Drosophila melanogaster: one gene and its partner. The protein of the gene in region 2 interacts with the protein of the main gene of each other region in a biochemical or structural test. Each region holds a gene or a part of one and is shown on either strand. Other genes may lie near its edges.

Region 1 (5,351 bases), 810 kb from region 2:
TTATGGAAGTAAAATAAAGAGGTAGTTACTTTTGATAAAAGCCTCAGAACATGGATACTTTAAATTAAAGTTCTCCACTGAAAAAGCATTCATAAAATGTTTCCGTTTCCGCATTCATTGCAAGCCCCGCACAATTTTCTATGCTTCATCAGGCCAAATAAAGCCAGAAGCTTTTGACCGGACCACAATTGTGGCACTGGGTTTTTGAAAGGGCGCGGCAAGGGAACCAAGATATTTTATCAGTCAAAATGCACACACATGGGCCAACTGCAAACGGCAGTTGCCATGGTCAACACTCATGGGCGATTTTGTGGCAACGGATGTTGGCCGCATTTTTCCAATTTACGCGCCCTACCATTGGTTATGAAATTCTCATAAATTTAACTGGAAAATGGCAATATAGTGTATAGTGGACATAGAACCCTAGGAAGCGCAGGTCGTTAATGAAATTGCCATGTTTATTTAATTCCCGGCTCATTTGGAATGTAAAATCAACGCTACTTTTGGGGGCTACACAATTTATTTAAATAAATAATAAATATATGTACGGTATATACACATCATTAGTTCCTCTCAAATCAGGGTTATAGCGCTAGTAACTAGTAGAGTAGTCATTCACTATGCATATATGTGGATTATTTTTGCGTCGCGTCGAATTCAGCTGGCCATTATGGCTTGGTTATGTTAACTCAAGGGCCAGTCGCCTGGCCTCAACCTTGTCCTGGGCTCGTCCTCCGTCCTCCATCCGCAGTCCGATTCCGTGCCGTGCCATGTCCTCGCGCCCTTGTCGTGACTCAATCGCCACCGCACACTTGAGCACGTTTGCCCAGGCGTGGCTTGAACGGCACCGATTTCTTAACCATGCGCTGCATGAACTGCCCGCCGATGGCCTCCTCGCCGCCCGCCATTCCCGTCGCCCCCTCCGCGTCCAGTAGTCGCCAGGAGTCAATGCTGCGGCCAAGGCGTGGCGTCCGCACGCGATAAGCGGGCTCCCCATTACTCTGCACTGTCCAAATGGAAATAGGGAGAGTATTTCATAATATATGTATAAGCATTTTGATAAGGAAAAAATGAATGCGAAATTTTCAAACAATTTTGTTCAAATGTATCCAACATTCTTTGGATAAGTAATAGTTTCCATGATTGAATAACATAAATGAATGAATGGTTAACTCAATTTGAAAAACATTGAACATTGCCTAAGTCACTGTGAAGGAATTTTTCTAGTAAAAATTGCAGATTTCTCGGACTTTTGTACGGTATTGTCATTACGTATGGAGATTGTTCTTTTTTTTCTGAATATAAAATATTCATTTAAATATGCCAATGTCTTGTGAAGTAAAGAAACGACATGCATATTAAATGAAAATAACATTTTCATATTATGTTTTTCTCTCTGCAAAAAATGAGGAAAAGCTTATGTATAAAGTATGCGAACATTATGGAGATGGTTGCGTGAAATGGGAACGTGATTCGGAAACCAATTAGAGCGACTTGCCCTCTTCATACATATATCCTTCACATTTCAGCAGGTGTCCATAGGCAACTTACGCTGTCGTAGCTTTTGAAGGAGCAGGTAATAGGTCAGTGGCGGCATGGTGTCCAAATCGAATTCCTGGCCCTGCGGCGGCATGGCAGCCACCTGCATGGTGGCACTGGCCTTCTGGGCCAGGCTATTCTCCTCCAGCTCGTCAATGATGTCTGTCAGCTCTTTGTAGTCGCCCATGGCGCGCTTTTGACGTGCCTCGCTCAACGCTGGTGAAGCTGGTGATAATGATCCTCTGGCAGAGCCGGCGCTGATGTGATTTCCCAAATCCAGTTTGCTCGTGCCCTGCACAAATAAAAAATGCCATAAAAGCAGGGGCCAAAAAAGCAGGCGAAAAAAGGAGCTAAATATTTGAGATATTTCCTTGGAGGATGTTGTTTTTTTTTACTGAGGGTTCCCACGCTGCCAAACTGTCGACACGTGTTAAGTTATTTTTATGCCGCCTATTTATGCTCATACTCGTACGTGAGCTGCACACACGCATAAAGGTCCTTCCAACCGACTTGCGGGTGTGCCTGTATGTGTGCGTGTGGGTGTCTATGGATGTGAGTGTGAATGTGCGAGTCAAGCACTTTATTGTTTCAATTTACACCCAGGCATGGAAGGCAGATCAGCGTGTGCCGCTTGATTAGACAACTCAATGTAGATTGAAATGCCAACACCTGAAATCGGCTTGTAAATCGCAATTCGCCAATAAACGCTCACTCTAAGCGGATGTCTGCGTGGGCGTATACTTGATATTAAACCTTCATTTGGCTCAGCATTTTCGAATACACTCAGCACAGTCGATATATTTTGCAATATTCTAAGCTGATATGAAAAAGAGCAATGTTGTAGCTGTCGTGAATTTATTGGTTATTTCTTTAGTTTCTTTTAGTTTCCCCGTTTAAATAAAAATATTATGAAACATATTCGTATAATATTCCCTGACAATAAACGAAAAAGAATAAGTTTGTAATTAAATAATTAATAATAGTTACAGTTTGAATTGTAATAACACTAAGCATTTTGTAATGTCCAGAATTTAATACAAAACACTTGCGGATTCGATATCAAACGATATAATTTACCTAAAACCAAATACAACACCACAAATTCCCAACCCAATGAACTATGCATAAACTTGATATAATTATGTCTTTTTGATTAATTAAGGCCTACTAGGTTTTATTACATCTGCACTGCCAAGCATGGAAAGTTATTTTAATTAGTGGTGCGAGAATAAGTTGCGCAACACGTATACGCAGTGTTGCTGCGATTGCAACCGAAATGTTAATTGGATGCCAATTGATTGCCTGCTGGCAGAAAAAAAAAATAGTTGCAGTATCTGCAAACTAATTGGTAGCACTTCAAATGCAGTTGACAGACGGGAAACGAGTGCGCCACATAATGCTGTAAGGCACACGTCAAAGTGAAAACTTTTCGCCCCAAAATTTCCGTTCCAAAAATCCAAGAATTTCAGCACTGGTTGAAAATTATCACGCTAAGCTGGCGAACTTGTGCCTGGGCAAATAACACTAATTAAGTGGCGCTTGTTTGGCCAACAAGCCACAGTACCAACACCACCACATTTTTCCCACTTTGCCCGAGACTCACCTGCAAGGACTTCGCATGACTGCAAACAAGGATGTAGCAGGAAGCCGCGATTAGCAGCAGTGTGCAATAACTAGGACCACACATAACTGGGCCAACTGTGTTCGCTGCTAGGTGTTTTCTGGCGTTTACGAGCGACTGACCTCCCAGGACAGGACAGGACACTCCGGAAGCGCTGGAACTATTAACTTAATAGTCGGACGATCGAATGGAACCGCGTTGCGCTTTGGGACTGCTTTGCGGGACAACTGATGCCAGCAGCGCGGCAGATAGCAAGTTATATAGCCAAATGCTAGCGGCCCCATGCGAGCCTGATTAGGTCCCTGATGGACGGGTGCTAAGTGATTTGTTATGCACTCTAATACCGGCCAAAAGGCAGCCCGCTGGTCAGCGTAAACAAGCGAATCAAGCGGCAAATCCCAAACGGAAGCGCCACCAATTTGTCGCCCACAGAGCAAGTGAAAAATAGGATTCAATGAGTGACTGGCATTCAAATTGGGAAGCTAATTGTAAAGTCTGCAGTGGGAAAAATTACAACAAAATCAAAAAATACATTTTAATACGAATTTTATATGGGCTTTACCTCAATTTCCGGGTTATCACTTTAGTCTGATGATATTTAAACTGACTGTTGCAGGTATTCGTTGATAAGCCACGAAATATTTTATTATAGCGGCTTAATAAACGAGCTAAATGCTTGCTTACTGATAAACCCACAGATGCAGATTTAAATATAAGTTGATAGGTTGTCAAAAGTATGACATAAATAAATTAAACCAAACCCTTTTATTATGACGTATATAAAAAGCTTCTGAATAATCATATAATTCATAATAATAATGGATATGGATTAAATGCCCTCTTAGCAATGGGACACAGGTATTCTCAAATTATTTTCTTTTAAGTGTATCCAGCGTAATCGTGGGGCATCCTGTTTAATGGAAATCTGAGCGCGTGTAAAGTCCATCACGCCCCTGATGGCGATGGCGATGGCATTAGGCCCAACACCCACCACAATGGGGGCAATGTCAATGCCGTTGACGCTGCCAATCGATCAATCTTATTTAAATGTTGACAGTTGTCTTCGCATTGTATCCTGTAGCTTGGGGCCTGTTTTTGCCTGTTTTGCCAGTTCTGCGGATGGGAAAAGGCTTGGGGGAACTCCACAGCTTCGCAGCTGGCTTATTTAAATGCCATCCGTGAGCCGCATTAGGTTCAATTTGCTGGGCAAACACATCTTGCACACCTGCGCTGGCAAGAAGCTTCTCCTTTGACTGACTGAGCTGTCAGCAGGCATTTAAAATCAGATTGTGAGCACTGCGATTGTCGGCTGCCAAGCGAGAATGGGTCAAGAAGGCTGGCAAATCAAATTTCTCATACGCCCCGGAAGACATAAGCTGCGCACACGTGGTCGGGCTTCAATAACAGTTGGCTGCAAATCACGAGAATTTTCAATTATCTAAACTTGGTCCCTGGTCAGACATCAACCATCCATCAATCGAGTGTTTTTCTGGATGCTGTCGTGATGGTCATTCGTGCAGCTGTTGCAGCTACTGGTCGAGTGTTTATTTGTGCCACTAATTTACACAAACATGACCCGGACACGACCCACACACAAACTCGACCTGGTGACCCCCAGCTGGCATTTATTTATTTACTAACTCTACGTACGTGGGACGACCTCTTTTCCAGCCAAGGCCCTGAAGGATTTATCTATTTGCCAACTGCTGAAAATGTATCCTTGACGGACGAAAAAAGAAAAAAAAAAAAATGGAACGAACAATGCCATAAAGTTGCGAAAAATGTAATTTGACAAACCCGTATCTGAGGGATTACCTTGCACTGTAGTTCTTCTCTTTCAATCTATCAACAGATTATATGTGTGAACTAATTGGACGGCCAACGCAAAGTTATATTTCGATGCATTGTTTCTTTTTATCCGACAGATATGTCGAAATGGAAAGTGACCTTGTTCAACGCGATTTTATAAAATAACTGATACAATGTGATATTTAATAAATTGAAGCATGAAATTAGAGCGCAATTTATTTCGTCAAATGTAAATTGTTTCGAAATCTATCTGACAAATTGTTCGTTCGTTAATTTCACGCCTGGGGCAGTTTGCCGCTACAATATTCACTGCCTGCAGGATGAAACCCAAATTACATAGGGCTTTCAACCAAATTAAATAGTTTCTGCCATTGAAAAATAG
Region 2 (8,041 bases):
ATGGGGAACTGCTGTACCCGGACCTGGCCCATAGAGCTCCTGTTTCCGCAGACGCCGCCCACCGCCACCGCCACCAGCACCACCACCAACTCCATTTCCGGCTGCCATGCTGTTGCTGTTTATCGTCGTGGTTGTGGTGGTGGTGCGAATGCTGTCCTGCAGGGACAATTGGTGGTTCGCATCCCGGCAACGAAACTGAACCACTCGGTAGGATCCATATGGCTCCAGCGCGTTGTTGTTTACACTGCAACTGGCCGGCTGCAGACGCATTGATCCATTCTGGCGGAGAAGGGCACTGTAGTTGTGCTGGTGGTGCTGACTCTGCTGGTGGTGGTGGTTCCTGGCCAGACCAAACTGTCGCGTCAGAGTGATCTTAAAAGTGTAAAAAATACATAGATTACCAATTCATTAATTTACGAAAAACAATTTTGAATAATTAAAGCTTAAATTTAACTTTAAAAGCATCTGCATTTGTGACCGTCCTCACAAACATGCGAAGGACCCAATTAATAATAGATTACTATTATGAAGTGGTTAACTGAGAAGGGTTGATCCCATGGGCTTACCTTGAAGGCCTCGCGGAACTTGTGGCTCATGATGTTGTACAGTAGCGGATTGATGCAGGTGGAGAGAAAGTAGAGCACCCCGGACGTGTAATCAAGTATCCGGAAGTAATCGTTGAAGGCGTCCCGACTGATGCCTATATTAATCAGATTCAGTCCGTAAACTGCCATCAGTCGCTGGGCGTGGAATGGAGCCCAGCAGAGGAAGAAGGCGACGGCTACAGCTACTGCAAATACGGTCAAGTAAGGATAAGCAACGTATTAAGACCCCTGAACAACTAGGTCACCGGAAAAGGGGCTCTCTCACACTGAAAGTGGTCTTAATCTTTTATATCCCCCGAAATCGAATAGTTTGCGCAAACGGGCCTTTGGTAAAATATCACATTTTGATAAAAGCCAAGGTATTACCTCTTAGCAAACGATAAATAATATCCCACTATCTATGAATAACTAAGCCCTGAGAACGGGTGTGTTTTTTTTCCACTCTTGCTGGCCAAATTAATTTATGGTTAAGGCTCTGGGCTTAATCTGAATTGGTCCATCAATTTCCATTTGGCAGGCCAGGGCCAATGGTAAATTTCGAAATCAATGGTCGGTGTTTCAGTTAAAAGCAACAGTAAATTAAACGTTGTTTCGTAGGCTGTAAGAAAAAACGGCTTATTGGGATCTAAAATTGGGCCTGGATTTACACTTAAATTTATTCACTGTATGGTTTGATAAGAATTTCTAATTATATAAATAAAATATGTGAATAATACACGAGATGTGTGCTGAATTCCTTTAAAATTTAACAGCTTATAACGTGGCACGTTAACGGACATATGTCTATAGATTCAAGAAACACTTTTTACAAATATTTAAGCTTGCTGTGTGCACCCAGCAGTCTTGAGTTCATTTAAGTGCCCCGGCTTGATTACTTTTGAGGTGACACCTGGCTTCACCTTTGCTTCATAGGCTAGATGGCCATTTAAGAGCTTTACACATACGCACCGATGTTTGCGAAAAATTAACGACACCGTTGAGGGAAAAGAGGGAAAAAAACAGAAGCACGTTCAGCCCACATGACGCAAGTGCAAATGAAGTGGGCGGAAGGCAATGAGGGCGGGGCTATGACGAATTCCCTGTTTGATGTTCGCCAACGCAAATACGTTGACAGTAATTTTCAATTTAAGACTTTCGGCGGAAAAAGTTTTGACAGCCGTGGATGTTCTTGTTGTTTCTGGTTGGCGGTGGGGCATATTGCTGTCTTTAATCAATCAAGCCGCCAACTTAACTCACCTACCCAACATTCTGATGACTCGTCCCTGGGCATTTAGGCCGCGATTCGCATCGAAAGTCCTTCGCGGCAGCGATTGCAGCAGTCGACTCCTCTTCAGTTTCACTCCGATCAGCACGTACAGTACACAAATCGCCGTCATGGGTCCACCGAAGAAAATAAATCCCGAAACGGCGAACACATGGGCGTAAAAGTCGTTTTCCATCTAAGGGAATAAACAGCGAAAAGGACACTCGATGATGCGTCAGTTGGTTTTCACATTTCAGTCCCACCCACCGTGCACGAGTATCCTTCGTTCTGGTAGACCACCGAAAATTGCATGGCCTGCGGAAGGGCCAAAAGGAAGGCCGCCAGCCAAATGGCAAATATAAATTTAATGGCTCGCGACAATTTTGACATGGTGTGCTGCCTACAAATGACGGAAAGATTAGGCTACATTATATGTTAAGTATTAAGGACAAGATGATGTCGATGTTTCGGATAAACGTGGGCAGATATAAGATGGAAAATATTACGGTTGTAAAGTACACGCAGTGACCACCTACACTTTTTACGCTTTTTAACTTTCTCTTTAAGGTTTGGGATATTGAGTGCAACATAAATATTTACTTTGAATGTGGGTGTAAATGGGAAGGAATTCAAACAGTTTCATACCAAATTTAATAGACATCACTTTTAACTTCTTTTGGTAAAGTGACTGCAATGGGTTTCAGACCTTTTTCATGCTAAGCACATGTCCGAATATCCTTTCGTTTCAAAATAACTATAATACTATTAAATGGCAAACATAGAAACCTTTTACTCTTTTCGACAACAATATTTAATCCCAACTTCAGAGACATGAAAGTTTTTTGCCTTAACTTTGTAATCGGACTTGGAATCCCTTCTTATAGAAAACCACCCTTTTGTGTCTGCATATTCTTAAGGACATACTCCAAGTGATTGTATTCGTAACAATTAATTTGTGAAAAATGCTAAGAAACGGAAATTGTGTTTGAAAACAACAATGTAAGGTTTTTAAGTTTCATTTCTTCTAGCTATTCAAGAGTTTCTGAACTAAAGGAAATGCAACATCGTAAATGAAAACCAGACGCTTTCGCTTAAGGAAGCTGTTGTATTCTTTGACCGCAAAATGGTCAGAACATTTGGAAGGAACTGGTGATACCTGTATAAGGAAAAGTTTTGTTGTACCATTCCAAAAATGCAAATATGTTGGTACTAAGCAATTAATTGACTAACTAACTTTCTATCTTTACAACGCATTTATTGGAACTTAATTACATAGTCTGTAATGAACTTGGTTCATTTATGGACCTGACTTTAATTAGTGTCTATAAATGAAAGCTAATGAATTTGGTATATTTAAAAACGATGGGAATTTGGTTGTCAAGCCTAACTTGTTTTATCATTCCACAGCCAGACTGTTTAGTTATGAATAATTATTGTGCCCATAATTTGTGAGGTACTTTTGTTGTTTCATATCATAATGTTTCCGACTGACGCTTATCAAGTTTAATTTATCTATTCATATTCTCTGTCCTAATTATGCATGATCCACTTTGTTAATGAGAGCGAGGCAATAACACTGAAGAAATTATACATTTGTTTAATAATGTAAATAAATATTTAAAATATATATAACGTTTAAATGTTAAAAACTCACCGGAATGGATGACAGATTGCTATATATCGCTCCACAGTGAATGCTGTGATGGTGAGAACCGTTGCATTGGCGGCCATTTCCGAGAGCACACTGCCCATGATGCACATGGCGTCCGTGAAGGGATACATATCCGGATACCAAAGGTTGTACAGCTCCTGGGGGATGCCTGCAGGATATTTGCCGCATTACGCATACGCAATGGTGTCCCTCAAAAATGCCATCTCACCTGAGACCAACAGTATTAAGTCGGAAACCGCCAGGTTGAACAAATAGAAATTGGTGGCCGTGTGCATAAAGTTATTTCGCGATATAACAATGCAGGTGATAAGATTACCCAGCACGCCGGCCACAAAAATGAGTGCATAACAAACGGTGAGGGCTGTTCGCAGGGTCAGGGACTCGTCGACCGGCGAATCCGCTGCCATTGTGCTCGCATTTGTGCCGTTCGTGGAACCCAGGAGATTTGAAAGATTCTCGGTCGTTATGTTCAGCAGATGGGCGACATGTGTTAGGAATTTGTCGTTCTTCAGCAGCAACATCTCGGGGCTCTCGCTGGGATTCGCCATTGTGGATGAGGCGATACCGATGCCCACTCCAATGGAGGGACTCTGATTGGGACTGGGCGACACATGAGCCATGAATGATTGATTGATGCCATCATCGTTGCTGTCGTTGGCTATGGTGATGGCGACGCCTTGCAACATACTAGCTGTCGTCGATTAATTGTGGACTCTATCCACTCCACGCCACGCCACACCACTCCTTTCCACCGCCAAGTTGGGAAAGAAAAACAAAAGCAAATCGGCCGCCCACTCGTATCAATGCGTTATTAATATTGTCTGTCGTATCCTTTGCGGCTGCGGTGGCACATAGCCGATAAGCAGTCGACGACAGGCCCAAAAATTGCGCACTCGCCTGTGAAGCAAACAACATTAAAAGTCATTAGACTCAAGGATGAATTTAAATTGAATCCCCAGCCAGGCTGACGTCACATTCAGACGGATGGCATCAGGTATCCAAAGTCTTCGATCAGGAAATCGCCTTTAACATGCAGTCCCGAAATAAAAGCACTTGATTGCTGCCACTTTTCTCTTGCCTCTTGGCTCTATTAATAGTAAACATCTTCACTTATGCAGAGAGAAAAAAGTCACACAAATACCCTAGAGGCTTTCATACAAAAAAAATATATTCTGTTAATCTACATTTTAATATTATATTATTAAAATAATTATTATATATTTATTTATATTTAGATCAATAATCCTGTCTGCTTGTAGGAAGGAATATATGTACGTAAATGTAATTGAATTGGAAATTATTTTCTCTGTAAGCCGTATGTCATTTGCCACTTGGCTCTATTAATAGTAAACATCTTAAGCTAAAGCAATACAGATTGCTGGCACTCAATACAGATATGTTTGTGGATAAAAAAAAACTTTTTCTATTTGCTAGGTTTTAGCCATGATAAGTGAAACGAAACATGATTGCATGTGTGGAAAAGTTTTTCCAGCCTCGATAAAAATGGGAAATTTTGCCACGCCATATTCTTATAATGGGTCCATAAGGGTGTGAGCTTTAAAGACGTTCAAAATGACATGAGTGGTAATATTTCACTCATAATACGACCAAAACAAGTCGTACTGGTTTCTCCTGCTGCCAAGAATCATATTCTGGGGTAAGAAGTCAAAGACCAAGTAACGGAACACCAAGTCACTGTTAGTGCCAAGTTGGATTATTGGCTTATAGCCAGAAATTTGGTTGATACGTCTAATTAATAATGTTTCCGGTTCGTTTAGTGTTGTTTCTTGCGAATAGTCGTTTTAAAAGCCCCGGAAAGTATGCTACGCAATTAGTGAGCCTACGAACCTTGAGTGGTCAGCATCACAGCGACATCTTGTTGACGCCAACTAATTGGAAAAATAATTGAATTGCCAATTCAGGTGTAAAAGTTGATTTAGATATGATTGGACACAGAGTCGGTGGACTGGGAGTCGTTGGCTAATTCAGAGTCTGTGTACAAATGTGCGCTTCCGATCGCTTCTACACAATCCAATCAGGCAACGCAATGCCACGCGGACCATATTAGGGTTTGCAATTCAATTTCGATTGGAGAATGAGTTTAAACCACAATCTAGCTGCATTGCCCAGCTGTCCATGCGGACGATGCCTTAACATTTTGTAATTAAGCTTTGCCTTTGCCAAAGGTAAGCAATTTTATTAAATGGGAAAGAGAGTTTTTTAAATTCCGAGAACCAAACAGATTGGGTCCTGAATAAATTGCCATCGACATGATTGTTGATTCTTACCAAGGCTAGATTAAATAACAAAAGTGTATTTTCTTTTGCTACGCGAATGTCTCCTTTTTTGTTGTCAACTCGTATCCTTATTCGTTTTTGAGTCGCACAAGGTGTGTGTTTCTTTACCCCTTTTCTTTTTTTTTGTATTGTTGTGAAACGTTTAAGAACTTCCGCCTGGGGATTTGTTAACCCTTGTGCTTTCAATAAAACGAATTCACCGAACGGAAAATTAGTTTTGCACTTTGCTAGCCAATCATTGAGACATATTTAATCAGTGGAAAATGGCTTGGGAGTTTTGAGCGACTTTTATTGAACCACTGAAGAATTCATTTAAATACATTATAATATTATTTTCTGCAGAAAATAAGTTTTACATTTTTTGTGCACTATTTAATATATTTTATAATATTTTATATTTCTTTTCACTTTCACGGATCTGTTTGGTTCGAATATAATTTTTTCGTAATCGCACACGTCCGATTTGAAGGAAAGTCCGTGAAAGACTGAGTTGCCTTGCGGCAATCGTGGCACTTGTCGACGGTTTCTGTTAGCCAAATGTTAACTAACAGCGGTTCTTAGCCATCTGGCTCTCCGCGTTTGTCTGCCTTTCTGCGACTGTGTGAGGGACACAAACATTCGGTCCTAATTTCATTCATAAATTCATGCACTTCACCTTGACTCCGTCTGCTTCTCAGTCGCCGTAAGTTATGGCTTACTTGTCGGATGAGTAATGTCGCTGGCATCCGGTTTAATAGAGCGCAGCCATAAGGGGCAGTCGAACCAATTGAATCGCTCGTAGCGCCGGGCTAATTGAAATTGCAAATGGCCCAAAAGCACTGGCACTTAGTTTTAATACTTATTGCCAAAGGCGACCGTCGCAATTGTTTTCTCTCCGACCTCAGAGTCAGAGAATCAAATGAGAAATCAAAGCCGTTTGTACATCATAAAGTAAGAAAATAAATGTGTTTGTTTTGCAGTACATGAGGCCTGATTTCCCGCTGACCAACAGAATGCCGAACCGCATATTAATGTCGGCCCTTGTCCGCAGATTTGTGGATTTGTTTTCATTATCCTCCGCCGTTCTGGTGTCAGTTCGCCGTGTGCCTCGCTTTCAGTAAAAGCCGCCTGTTGTTCTGGCCTTAAAGATATTTATCTTGTGGGAAGAGAAGACGCCTGGCAGTAGAGTTTTCAGTACAATTTGGCATGGTTGTCTGGTCGCGGTAAATATGCACAATTGCTGGAGCGTGACCACAATCAGGTTTTTCGAGACTGGCTAAAAGGCCTGTGTATATAAAGGAAATTCCTGCGGGCGGCTTTGAAGATTTTATGTTGTAATTCTTACACGAGTATATATATTTAAAAAGTGCCCAATAAGAAGTAATAAAAAAATGTAAAATGTACTTTAATATGCTGTAAGCAATACATTTTTAATAGAAAATAAATGTGTTTATGTGACGAACATAGTTCTGTTTTTGTCCTGTGCAGCAATAAGATACCAAAAAAGTTCACGTTTCCACGCACTTTGATCCGCCGTAAATGCGATTAAACGAGCGTTAAATTAATGTTGGCCCAAATAATCACTGTCCGCAATCTGAAAGTCGATTTCCTGGCTTATTCATGAGCTCCACAGTAAATGATGAAAGCGTAGGGATAATCAATATTAGTGCTTTACCTATTGACCTTTACAAGTATACCGTATACGCCATGTTATCCCAGTGGTTAGTGTGTTTCCCTGAATCTGAACGATTCAATTGGCCTACGGGTGATGCTGATTAGCATAATGTCTTTTGACACACATGTAGGCCACCTACAGGGCCAGAGACAAAGGAAAACTTGATACTAATCGAAAAGGGTCGACCACAGTTTTGAGGGCACAGCAGTTGGTCCAAGCTCTTGGGTTCTGGCCTTGATTTACGATTGCAGTGGGTAAGATGACAATGATAATGTTTTGGCCACAACTAGAGTCACTGATTAGCTCGCCGTAGCTTGTTTGAACGATGCCAATATGAGGGCCCTGCGAATGTGGCTTATAGCACTTTTCAGTGCGTCATGTAATTTCAGTTGTGGCTAATTAGTTGCAATTAAACTAAACGCGAGAGTCCTTGGCCTTTTGCCTTGACTTGCACAGAACATTGAACTATTGGGACAAAATATCCCTTTACATACTATTTACGAGTAGTTGATACTTAAAAGCCCACGCTCTCAGCTTAGCTCACATTACTCATACAACCCGTTGGCCAAA

What was found.
Region 1: of the proteins of PK2-R1 (region 2) and Hug, one has a biochemical effect on the other in vitro, tested with the Drosophila melanogaster proteins (one study listed by BioGRID).

Annotation. Positions count from the first base shown.
Region 1 is NT_033777.3:12,524,231-12,529,581, reverse strand, and holds Hug (hugin), read right to left. Parts: upstream 3,395-5,351; 5' UTR 3,227-3,394; coding exon 3,143-3,226; intron 1,832-3,142; coding exon 1,552-1,831; intron 1,007-1,551; coding exon 795-1,006; 3' UTR 506-794; downstream 1-505. UniProt on the Drosophila melanogaster protein: Probably has a role in larval molting.
Region 2 is NT_033777.3:13,336,335-13,344,375, reverse strand, and holds the start of PK2-R1 (pyrokinin 2 receptor 1), read right to left. Parts: upstream 6,047-8,041; 5' UTR 5,809-6,046; intron 4,418-5,808; 5' UTR 4,207-4,417; coding exon 3,729-4,206; intron 3,669-3,728; coding exon 3,503-3,668; intron 2,249-3,502; coding exon 2,116-2,248; intron 2,045-2,115; coding exon 1,846-2,044; intron 791-1,845; coding exon 567-790; intron 373-566; coding exon 1-372.